Linked DNA regions of Neurospora crassa OR74A. The protein of the gene in region 1 interacts with the protein of each later gene in a biochemical or structural test. Links are inferred from orthologs where the notes say so. Each region holds a gene or a part of one and is shown on either strand. Other genes may lie near its edges.

Region 1 (3,600 bases):
TCAAAACAACACAAAAGAGCAAGCTAGACTAGGCATCAAGCGGCAACGGAAGTAGTATCCTCAGTGGCGAGGGACATGATTTACTCATCGTCCTCCTCCTCAGATTCCTCCTCCTCAGACTCGGCCTCGGCGAGCCAGGTGAGGAAGGGCTCAGCAGCCTTGCGGATCTTCTTGGAAGTAGAGCCATCGACGTACTTCTTGGAAGCCTTGCTACCCCACTTGGTGATGACCTCCTCGGAGCAGAGGTCGTGGTGGTAGTAGAGCTGGAGAATCTTGACAATCTTGTCATAAGACTCCTTGCCGAGGTCGGCAAGGAGACGCTCGGTACCGCCAAGGAGGGCCTTCTCGTGACGCTCGGAGGTAACGAGTCTCTTGAGCATAGGAGCACGCTTGGGGATCTGAGCAACAATGTTCTCGTCAAAAAGACACTGAACAAGAACCTGGACGGTGCGGTGCTTGGCATCAATGCCGAGCTCCTTGGCCTTGAGGTAGATCTCGACATCGTCGACATTGTTAATGCCACCCTTGGCCTTGGCTTCATCCTCGATCCAAGTGCCGAGCTGGTCGTAGACGGTGTTTCCACCCTCCTCCTCCTCGTCTTCTTCACCATTCAGGACGAGCTTCTGCTTGAATTCGCCAGGAAGGTTCTGCTGACGGGCACGGACGGCCTCCTCGCTCATGTCGACAGCCCACTCCTCCTCCTTGGGAGCCTCTCTCTTGCCCAACTGCAAGCTCTGAGCCTCAGACTTGATCTTGCGAGTGAGCTCATCATCGTCGCTAGCATATTCAATGTTCTTATCCTCGATGGCAGGAGAGGCCTGGTCGGAACCGTTCTCGTCACCGGAACCTTCCTTATCGCCGCCGTTCTGGCGAGCCTTGCGGGCCGCCTTGCGCTCGGCCTTGTCCTTCTTGCTCTTCTTGGGGACGTTCTTGAGGATGAAGGAGGTCAGCTTGAGCTGGGGCTCAACCTTGCTGCGCTGGCCACAGGCCTTGCAGTCGAGAGTGATCTTCTCGTCCTTGATCTGGACAACCGTCTCGGGGTTCTTGCACTTCTTGCAGAGGACAAACTTGGCAATGAAGCCATCGAGAAGATCCTGGAGCTTGGCGGCCTCGTGGGAGCCGTTGATGATCCAGCGGTCATCAGGAGGATCAATGTTGGTTTGAGCACCAAGCTCGAAACCAAAGTACTTGATCAAATAGCCACCGGGACGAGCCAGGGACTGGGCAACGCTGCTGAGGTTGACAACGACGGTCTTGATACCGTTACCCTTGCCTTCAATCTTGGTCTGGATACGCTCCATCTTGTAGCGGTAGAAGGGGTCGGGGTTGTCCCGACGAACGTTGATAAGAGCACCCATTTTGGCGGTATTGACGGCGAAACAGGATGATGTTTGTAGTATTGTTTTGTTGGAGTTTGTTGGGAGTCTGGTAGACGATACCTAACGAGGGCAGACTAGTAGACTGGTCGACGATGTCGTGGAAAGCGAGGCTTCTTGTTGCACGGAGAGCGTGTGAGGAAGATCGAGAGGCGAGACGAGCCAAAGGGGTCAGTTATTGACGAGTACTTTGAGTTGACATAGGGTAGACCGTGTGGTTAACGAAGTCGAAGGTAGGCATTAACGCTGGCAGACGACCGTGGGAATGGCGATTCAACCGTCGGTACTTTGTTGGAAGCTACAGGGTTTCCGCGATATGCGAAAATGCAGCTTGACGGGGGGAGAGTGTCGGAAGACGGCGTGCTGGTCGTGCTGATACATAAACAACGCTGTGTCGCGCAAAATGCTTATGTTGGGTCTGGTGGTGGTTGTTGTTCTGAACCTGGGCGGTGCTGGAACAGAAAGCTGGGCGGGAGAGGATGGCTTTTGAGGCAAGCGAAATTTTTTTTCTCCCTCTGTGACGAGCGGGCTTCCTTTTCTTGACGGAGCGGAGCGGATGGAGTCGAGTGACTTTGTGTGGGTTTCTGCTGGGATAGTGGATTCACTTCACTTCCGTGGTGCGGCACCCGAAATCCGGGGGAGGTGGAGTTGATGGACAGATGGACAGAGAGCCCGGTCGCCTTTGTGGTCTTGGATAGATTCAAGGACGATGTCGCTGCTGATGGCGGTTGATGGGTAGAATGAAGTTGAGGTTAGTTTGGCAAAAAAGAGGCAGCAAGCAAGAGTTTTTAAAAAAGGACGAGAAAGCAAGTGGATGTGGATCGGTGCTGCAGAATGGAGCCAAACCGGGCACGGGCAACAAGGCGGGCAGTCACTGGACGAGCAAGCAAGAGGATTTGTCGGCCAAAGGATTTTCGTGGTGCCCTGGCTAGCCCCCCCATGTACTGTACACTACCTAGTGTAGTACCTGTGGCTCATGGCAGAGCAAGTCTAGGGTACTTCTTGTTTGGCAGGTAATCACCACCACCAGCGGGCTATGGGCAAAGTACCCGAGACATGTGTCCGTTCTCCAAGCCAGGCAACACCAGTTGCCGTGCAGGTACTGCGTGCAGTTCGTTCTTTCACACACTTCGTTTCGACACCGACAATGGAAGAAGGTCCCGTCGCGTTCCATTCCTACCTGCTTACCATCTCCCCGCCCACTGCAACGGGCAGCACAGCAACAGGACGGACGCGCAATGGCGTATGTTCCGAATGGCAAGTTAGGGAACTTGAAAGATTTTGATGCCATTTTGCCCCTCATCCACTCGGCGTTTCCACGCCTCTGCTTTCGATGCTCGAGTTCCGGCCCAAGGAATGCCTCTTGCAACAAGCTGACTCGCCGGACGGTGGCCAGAAGGCACCTGGACACAGAAGGCCGGATGAAAAGGCGGGACTCTTTGATGACCAGCCGGTATACACTAGAAGATCCACGCAGATGGGGGCGTTCCCTGTGTCTGTGCAATGTCCATCCATCCACACCAGAGACCAGTTCCACTTTGGTTCATTGTACTTTCAGTAACCGAGCCAGGCGGAGGAGGCCTTTGTAGTTGTCGGTCAAGTGAAAGTGACGGTCTCCCTCTCCGCCGTGTGCCTGGGTGTCTCACAACAATTACAGCTTGTCTGGGAAAGCCAATTTCTCTCCTTGGGAAACTTCGGAGTTACGGGGATGTGAAAAATGGGCGGCATTCGGGAAGAATCCGAAACACACGCGATATGTTTTGTCAAGGGAAGGCGGCAATATCAATCAACGCTTAACCAAGTCAACTACCTCTAGGTATGTACACTAGACTCATGCGACAAGCTAGTGTAGAACCAGCCCGCACCAATATCTAGGTAGATCTGTATCCGGCAAAGCGCCCCCCCAAACAGGCAATTACTATGCACCTAAGTCGTTAGGTATTGTGTACGGTTTCTTTCAGGGACGGCATCTCTCACCTCTGCGTCTCTCATTCTCAAGCCAGGGGCATCTGTTTGGCTGCAGGTATCATGTATACTTTCATAGCTCGCAAACAAACAACTTGTCTAAATCTCTTGATGACCTTTCGTGGCCATTTGGCAAGACACCAAGACTGTCAAACATCTATACTTACAGCTACATCTATTGTAATACAAGCCGTCTAAAACACATCCCGCAAGACCCCTGTACCATCACCTACTGCCCACCGATCGGTTCAAACTTCAA
Region 2 (3,823 bases), about 2.6 Mb from region 1:
CTGGTCAAGAGCAGCCGCGAGCTCCTCGTGGCTGATCATCTTGCTGACGACAGCAGAGACCTTGCGAGAGTCGAGCTCAAACATGGAGCTGAGGGTAGCAATGGCGAGAGTGTCGTAGAAAGGAGCATAGGTGAAGAGGTAGGTACGGAGACCCTCCTCCTGGATCTGCTTGGCGAGCATGGTCTTGATACCCTCGGTGTTCGGCATCAAGTCCCAGATCTTGATGCTGTGAATGAAGTCGGTGGCCTTCTTCCACTCACCAGCAGCAAGGGCCTTGGAGGCCTGCATGACGTGATCCCTGGTGTTCTCCGGAGGCCCGGTAAAGATCTGGCGTTCATGGTACTCGAGCATACGGCGGTAGGTCTTGCTGATGATCCTCTTCTTGACATCGGGCGAAGAACCGGTTTGGGCGAGCAGAGGAATCTCGAGGAGCATGCTGCAGGTAAGGTAGACGCACTCAAGGAGCTCGAGGTTGATGTGCATGTGGAAGGGAAGCTGGCGCTGCTTCTCGAGGCGCTCCTGCTCAGGGGTGACCTGGCTGTAACGCTGGATCATGACGCCCTGAGCAAGAAGCTCCTTTTGACGGCCACTGCCGCAGATCTCCTGGAGGGTGTTCTGGGCGTCGTAGACGAGACCCTTGCGGAAAGCGCAAAGGCCGACCTGAACGAGGGTGCGGTTGTAGAGAATCTGGGTGGCGATGTCGAAGTTGGCGATAGTCTCCTGAAGATGGGAAGTGAGCATCAGGTCGCGAGACTTGTAGTACTCATCGTGCAGAGCCAAGAAGTAGATCTGGCAAAGCATGGCACGGGCGCGGATGATGCCCTCGCTGTTCTCGAACAGGTAGTTAGAAAGGATGTTGATGAGCTTGCCAGCATCGCCGGATTGGCTGCGGGGGGTAATTTCAGAATCGGCCTCAGCAGAAACCTGCTTCCACGCGTTCTCCTCGAGGATCTTGACGACTTGGGCGGGCTGAAAGAAGATGATTAGCAAAGACGGCTGAGTATTCCAGCATTAGCTCTATACATACCTTGTAGTAAACATGGTCCAGACGCCTCTGGATGATGCGGTTCAAGCTCTCCTGGGGAACCTCGAGGGAAGCATCCTTGCGGAGGTGCTCGTAGTAAAGAAGACCACGGAAGATGGTGTTGTAAAGAGAGCCCTCATCGGTTAGCCTGTCGATGTACTCAGAGGTGTGAGGATCGATGGCTTGGAGGGAGCGGGTGAGCTCGTCATCGAGACGCTCAATGAGCGAGACAACGCTGCCGGGAACCTTGAGGTACTTCTCACCCTCGGGGATGGTGGGGAGCTTGTCATCATCATCCCACTCCTCAGCGCCCTCAACAACAACATGGTCCTTCTCCTTCTCGAGGATCTCCAAGAGAGAGGCAAGGTCACGCTCAGCGGCCTTCCACTGGTCCAAAGGCATCTGGGCGGCGCCACCAGCACCAAGATCGAAGCGGGCAGAAATAAGGGTCTGGAGGACACGGATCTTCTGGTAAGGGGTAATGGGGACGACCTTGTTGAGGGTCTCCATAACCTTGATCTGCTCGAGGCGGTCGGTGTTCTTCTTGCCGCGAGACTCGATAATGGCGCGGAGGTGCTTGAGGATGCTCTCGGGGGTGTACTGAACAACCTTGCCGCGCGAATCGACCGTAGAGAAGCCCTTGTCGTCCTCTTCCTGCTGCTCAGCACTGACGACGGGAGCCTCGAACCGGACCTTGGAAACAACCTTGGGCGCGGCAACCTCATCATCCGACTCCATGAAAGCGTCCGCATCCTTCCTGTAGGCATCGATCTGGGTCTGGTACTCCTTATTGTTCTTGCGGATGCGCTGCTTGACGGCGTTGAGACCACGGGCATTTGTCGCGTTCATCTTCTTGGGAGTGACCTTTTGCTTGGCGAGAGTCTCGTTCATGAAGTCCTCAAGATCGGCAATGGCCTTGATGTAGGACTTGGGCGCCTTGCTGCCATCTTGGAGCTTGACGACCTGACGGTTGAGCTTGTCGAATTCTAAAGCGGGGAGGGGAGTAAGTATCGGTGCAGGACATATCGAGGGTGTATGCATGCATGAAAGATATACGAACCGTTGGCGATAAGACTCCAGTCGTTGATCTTCTGGCCGTTCTGGATCTGGCTGATGGTGGACTCGAGTTCGTCGAAGCGCTTGTCCTTGGCGCTCTTGACCTTGGTGGTGGCTTCATCGTCGCTCTGCTCTTCCTCCTCCTCCTCGGACTCGTCGTCGCTCTGCAAGAAACGGGAGGCACCCTTCTTCTTGGTTCCTTCTTCCTCGTCGCTGCTGGACTCCTCGTCGCTCTCCTCCTCGTCAGACTCCTCCTCAGACGAAGACTCGTCCTCGGCCTGAACCTTCTCCTCCTCCTCCTCCGAAGTGTAGACCTCCTCCTCCTCGGAGCTGCTGTCGGTGGAGCTGTCGTCACCGCCGCGGAAGAAACGAGACATGGTTGCGGTCTCTTTCGATAGACTCGGAATAAATATGCGGGTTCCGGGGGTATGGGCGCGATGCAGAAGTCCGGGTTACCGGTATGGGTACTTGGAGTGGTGGACGGAAGTGGTGATGGTCCGGATGGTTGGCAAAGCAAAACCCGGCTGCGGCGAGGCGGACAGAGGGGTCAAAGAATTAATTTTCACTGAAAGGCCGTTTTGGTGGGGGCGATTTGGGGCTTAGCGAATCGAGCGGAGCTGTTTGGGCCTCGAGCGCTGTAATGATTGGGTATGACTTAATCCGAGCAAGGGGTGTGGGGGGAGAGGATACTTGCTCCGCGGGGGGGAGGCTGAACTTATGAGCTGAATGTACCTGCTTCCGCTTGGAGATCGCAGGACGGGATTCCTAGAAGATGAAGATAAGGTCTGAACCTTGCAGATGTTCGCATGAGGGATCTGTCAGAGGAACGGGTTTTTGTGTATACTTTGGCGAGCGGAGCGAGGGAACAATATCAAGCATTGCTTTGTCAGGCCTTCACTATGAGATTCAACACCTGTCGTCTGGGTACTTGGGCGCAAACAGCCAGCCAGCTGATGCCCCACCTTCAATGTATCAGCTACCTGAACTGATAATGTATCACTATACTCGGTTACATGCATCTGAGACGTGCTGTGAGCTTGTCAAGCCAGATCTACCACGTAACGGGGATTGCGTATCGAAAGTTACAGTACGTAACAGGAGACGTTTCGCCACGAAGTCGAGAAGTGACAGCCCAGCCTGCCCAGTCGCTGCAGGCAACCAACCCCAGGCCCTCTTTCACTAACTGGAGTGGCGGGGACGCTACCGGGCTGCAGCTGCCAACAAGCACCTGCACAGCGAAGAATCCCGCTGCCAGGTTTCCCGTTTTGCGCGCCAGGACCTGGACCGCCCGCCCTGACCTCTGAACTTTATCGACCGCCCACGCAGCTGTCGCGAGGCTGTTCAAGTTTTTCGTAACGAGGCCAACCTGCCAACGTCAACGCCAGCATCCTGGCGCCACCAAACCACACTTTCACGAATACAACATCCACCTCTCCATTCTCAGCTTGATCGACCATCGCCGCGATTTGGTGCGAGGTCGACCTACGCCCATTTCCATCTAAAACCAATGGGAATCTAATATTTGCCAGTCCTTTTTTCTCTTCCTCAGCGAGACAGGCCTTGGAACGACGCACGCGGACTGCAAACCGCCATCGCGCGGACAGGCGACTTCACGGTATCCAGCCTTCTATCCATCTCGTCGCCAACGCCGACTGGTACACGCTTCTGACGAAGACGATTACAACGAAACAACCACATAAACGTCAACAAAGCTTCATCAAGCAGAAATCGAAAAAATGTCCT
Region 3 (3,800 bases), on another chromosome or scaffold:
TCAACTCTTCACAGCGCTATTATCCCGAGACTGAGCCCTAGTTGAACCCTTATTATCCCAAGAGCGATGAGCCTCACCTTTCGTGAAGATATCGAATAACTTGACGGGAAAGGGTCGAATCCAGGAGAAGACACCTCGTGTCCTACCTTTTCGCTCCACAGTCAGGCATTGGCAGCAGGTACGACTTTGATGACGCCCTTAACCAAGCTTCATAGAGTTGAGACTGTGGCCATGACCAGCATCGTGGGTGCTCCTCAGAGTTGACGACGACAAGCAGACTCGGCGTTGTTGATGATGGATCAGCTTATCGACCCGGAAACGTTTGTATGTACGTCGAAGGATGCCGGTGTCAATGGGAGAGGCCGTTGCAGAGTAACGATTGTTCTCAAAGAAAGAAACCGGATTCAACTCGCCGATCGATACAATGTACCCGTTCTCAACGTTCAGTTGATATAATTCTCAGCGTTGAGTTACCGTGTACGCTGTGAGTAAGTTTCTGCCGACACAGACGGGACAGAGGGTTGGATAAAAGTGTAGATGGCGAACTCTTGATAGGAGAGAGGTTCCAAAAGTCACCTCAATGATGTTGAAGCTGAACCGTGACTGAGCTCTGGACTTTAGCACTACACTTACTTGGTCCTTATCGCGCTCTTATCGGCCCTTGTGGGGCAGGCGACGGTCGGGCTAAACCGAAAACCGTGCTTAGTGGGGCAGCGGCAAAGGCGGGAAGGGTTGGGCGCACGCAGGGCAGGTTCGCAGAGCGGAATGTGTGAGGCTCTCGCCTTGTTGGTCGCAGCTGGCAGCGGCAGCACAGGAAAATACCGACCTAGCACAAGCCAAATACAAGTCAAATATCGTCAGAGTCATCCACCAGGCAGGCAGTTTTTCTTCTCAGCCTTCCTCCAACCTTCGCTGTAACCCCACTATTTTGGCAGGTCCAGTTTTACTACCTCTACCGTCCACCAACAACGTCCGCTATCACAAATATCGCGAGTCCCGTTGCGGAGACAGTAGGACACCCACATACATACCCACACCAAGGAGCAGGGTCTAGAAAAGTACACAGCAACTACCAGGCATACACCACCCACTACACAGTACACAGCAAGAGGGGTTGCTTCACCGAAAGCGAAAAAATTACTGCCCCGCGACACATCCATCCATCGACTTGACGACCCAACCTAACTCACCTCCACACCTCACCTCCATCCACCCACATCCACAATCATGGCTACCAACGGCGACAAGTTTGGCAACGACATCGTCGAGTCCGACTCGGGCTCCGACAACGAGTCTCACGTCGACCAGCACGAGTCCGACAACGAGGTCGAGGCCAAGCCGCGCAAGTCGGCCCTCAAGAAGGCCCCCGCCCCCGTCGTCCAGAGACCTCCCCTTCCTCCCCAGACCGATCCCAAGGACCTCGACGTCAAGACCCTCAGCCCCCTCACCCCCGAGATCATTGCGCGACAGGCCACCATCAACATCGGCACCATCGGCCACGTCGCCCACGGCAAGTCGACAGTAGTAAAAGCCATCTCGGGCGTCCAGACGGTCCGTTTCAAGAACGAGCTCATCCGCAACATCACAATCAAGCTCGGTTACGCCAACGCAAAGATCTACAAGTGCGACAACCCAGCATGCCCTCGCCCGACATGCTACAGGAGTTACAAGTCCGAGAAGGAGGTTGATCCCCCTTGCGAGCGCGAGGGTTGCGAGGGCACCTACCGTCTGTTGCGCCATGTCTCGTAAGTTGTTTAACATAACATCATTTGCGCCAATGAATGACTGACCATGTGTCTCCTCCTCCCAGCTTCGTCGACTGCCCTGGTCACGATATTCTCATGAGCACTATGCTTTCAGGTGCCGCCGTCATGGACGCCGCTCTCCTCCTGATTGCCGGAAACGAATCCTGCCCTCAGCCCCAGACCTCCGAACATTTGGCCGCCATCGAGATCATGAAGCTCGACAAGATCATCATCCTCCAGAACAAGGTCGATCTCATGCGCGAGGAGGCCGCCAAGCAGCACTACGAGTCCATCCTCAAGTTCATCCGTGGTACCGTTGCCGGAAAGTCGCCCATCATCCCCATCTCGGCCCAGCTCAAGTTCAACATTGACGCCATCAACGATGCCATCGTCAACACCATCCCCGTTCCTCCCAGGGATTTCTCCATGGACCCCCAGATGATTGTCATTCGTTCCTTCGACGTCAACAAGCCCGGTGCCGAGATCGACGAGCTCAAGGGTGGTGTTGCCGGTGGTTCCATTCTCCACGGTGTCCTCAAGCTCGGCGACGAGATTGAGATCCGTCCCGGTATCGTCACCCGTGACGAGAAGGGCGACCTCAAGTGCACTCCCATCTTCAGCAGGATTGTCTCCCTCAACTCCGAGGCCAACGACCTCAAGTACGCCGTGCCCGGTGGTCTCATTGGTGTTGGTACCCGCATCGATCCTACCCTTTGCCGTGCCGATCGTCTGGTCGGTTTCGTCCTCGGTCTCAAGGGCCGCCTCCCCGAAATCTACTCCGAGATCGAAGTTAACTTCTACCTCCTCCGCCGCCTTCTCGGTGTCCGCACCGCCGACGGCAAGCAGGCCAAGGTCGACAAGCTTGCCAAGAACGAAGTCATCATGGTCAACATTGGTTCCACCTCCACCGGTGCCAAGGTCTCCGCCATTAAGAAGGATGCCGCCAAGCTCATCCTCACCTCCCCTGCCTGCACGAGCATCGGCGAGAAGGTTGCCCTTTCCAGACGTATCGAGAAGCACTGGCGTCTTATCGGTTGGGCTACCATTGCTGCGTAAGTTTTTTTCTTTTCTATTTCTTTACCCCATAACTTATCACCACTGAATAACCACTAACAAAAAAAACAGCGGTGTCACCCTCGAGCCTTCTACCTCTTAAGCGAGCGACCAGAAAATATCCAAAGTTTATACATCGCTTGATTAGGAGGAAAATTAAAAGGTTGTTAATTTTTGGTTGCTCTAATGATGAATATCCAAAAAGTCGTTGGAGGATGATCAAAGAATGGAAACTTGGGCGCGGACACGGAAGGAAACGGCGTAGCGTGGGGAAACCGGGACCTGTGTTTCTAAAAACTAGCCTTGTGAAATTTGTACATGGTCTTATTTTTATCCAACTTGGGGCCGAGGACAGTAGAAAGACTGGTCATACGATTCGTTGAAGAAGATGAGCGAGGAATGTTGTGAAAAGAGGAACTCGTGAAGAGAAGCGCATTATCGGACCATTAGGAGTTTTTGTACAAAAAGTTATGTTTGGTACCGACGTACTTTGGGTTTACCAAGTAGTGGTAGAGGTAGAGAAGATGCCATTACGTTGATTTTGTCAAGGTCCGACGTACTTGGATTGAGTTTATTAGCCAGTGGTGATGATAAGAGTAAACTTGAAAGAGTGAAGTAGAGAAGATAAATACATTGATTCCGCCATGAGTCTTCGACGTAATGACCATCTTACCATTATACTAGGCTATGGTAATGGCTCGGATAGATGGAAAGAGTCCAAGAATATACCTAACAATACTCTTCATGGGACACAGTCGAGTATGTATCCGTACGTAACTCTATTCATTTTTCTCTTTCTAGACCTGATAGTCTATCATACCTATCACAATTCCCTCCCCCTTTTGAAACTGAACCACACCCGAAAAAAACCTTCTTGTCCTTCGCTAATTACAACACCTGATATTATAACAAGTCTCAGTCTATCAAAGTAATCACCTCCTGTACATCGAATAGAAGAATAGAATATAATCATCATCCTTTTCCTTTCCCCCCTCCATTCCC

What was found. The genes of interacting proteins can lie anywhere in the genome.
Region 2: the proteins of NCU00366 (region 1) and NCU07831 form a complex in vitro, tested with the Saccharomyces cerevisiae proteins (6 studies listed by BioGRID). The link is inferred for Neurospora crassa OR74A from reciprocal best matches to the Saccharomyces cerevisiae genes TIF5 and NIP1.
Region 3: the proteins of NCU00366 (region 1) and NCU02810 form a complex in vitro, tested with the Saccharomyces cerevisiae proteins (2 studies listed by BioGRID). The link is inferred for Neurospora crassa OR74A from reciprocal best matches to the Saccharomyces cerevisiae genes TIF5 and GCD11.

The regions. Positions count from the first base shown.
Region 1 is NC_026503.1:3,590,881-3,594,480, reverse strand, and holds the start of NCU00366 (eukaryotic translation initiation factor 5), read right to left. Parts: upstream 2,244-3,600; 5' UTR 1,359-2,243; coding exon 81-1,358; 3' UTR 1-80. Other genes in the region: NCU11030 (hypothetical protein), read right to left, coding at 3,571-3,600. UniProt on the Saccharomyces cerevisiae protein: Catalyzes the hydrolysis of GTP bound to the 40S ribosomal initiation complex (40S.mRNA.Met-tRNA[F].eIF-2.GTP) with the subsequent joining of a 60S ribosomal subunit resulting in the release of eIF-2 and the guanine nucleotide.
Region 2 is NC_026503.1:1,003,752-1,007,574, forward strand, and holds the start of NCU07831 (eukaryotic translation initiation factor 3), read right to left. Parts: upstream 2,765-3,823; 5' UTR 2,458-2,764; coding exon 2,085-2,457; intron 2,011-2,084; coding exon 1,028-2,010; intron 970-1,027; coding exon 1-969. Other genes in the region: NCU07832 (pre-mRNA processing splicing factor 8), read left to right, coding at 3,817-3,823. UniProt on the Saccharomyces cerevisiae protein: Component of the eukaryotic translation initiation factor 3 (eIF-3) complex, which is involved in protein synthesis of a specialized repertoire of mRNAs and, together with other initiation factors, stimulates binding of mRNA and methionyl-tRNAi to the 40S ribosome.
Region 3 is NC_026501.1:9,046,852-9,050,651, forward strand, and holds NCU02810 (eukaryotic translation initiation factor 2 gamma subunit), read left to right. Parts: upstream 1-813; 5' UTR 814-1,227; coding exon 1,228-1,745; intron 1,746-1,810; coding exon 1,811-2,797; intron 2,798-2,870; coding exon 2,871-2,901; 3' UTR 2,902-3,361; downstream 3,362-3,800. UniProt on the Saccharomyces cerevisiae protein: As a subunit of eukaryotic initiation factor 2 eIF2, involved in the early steps of protein synthesis.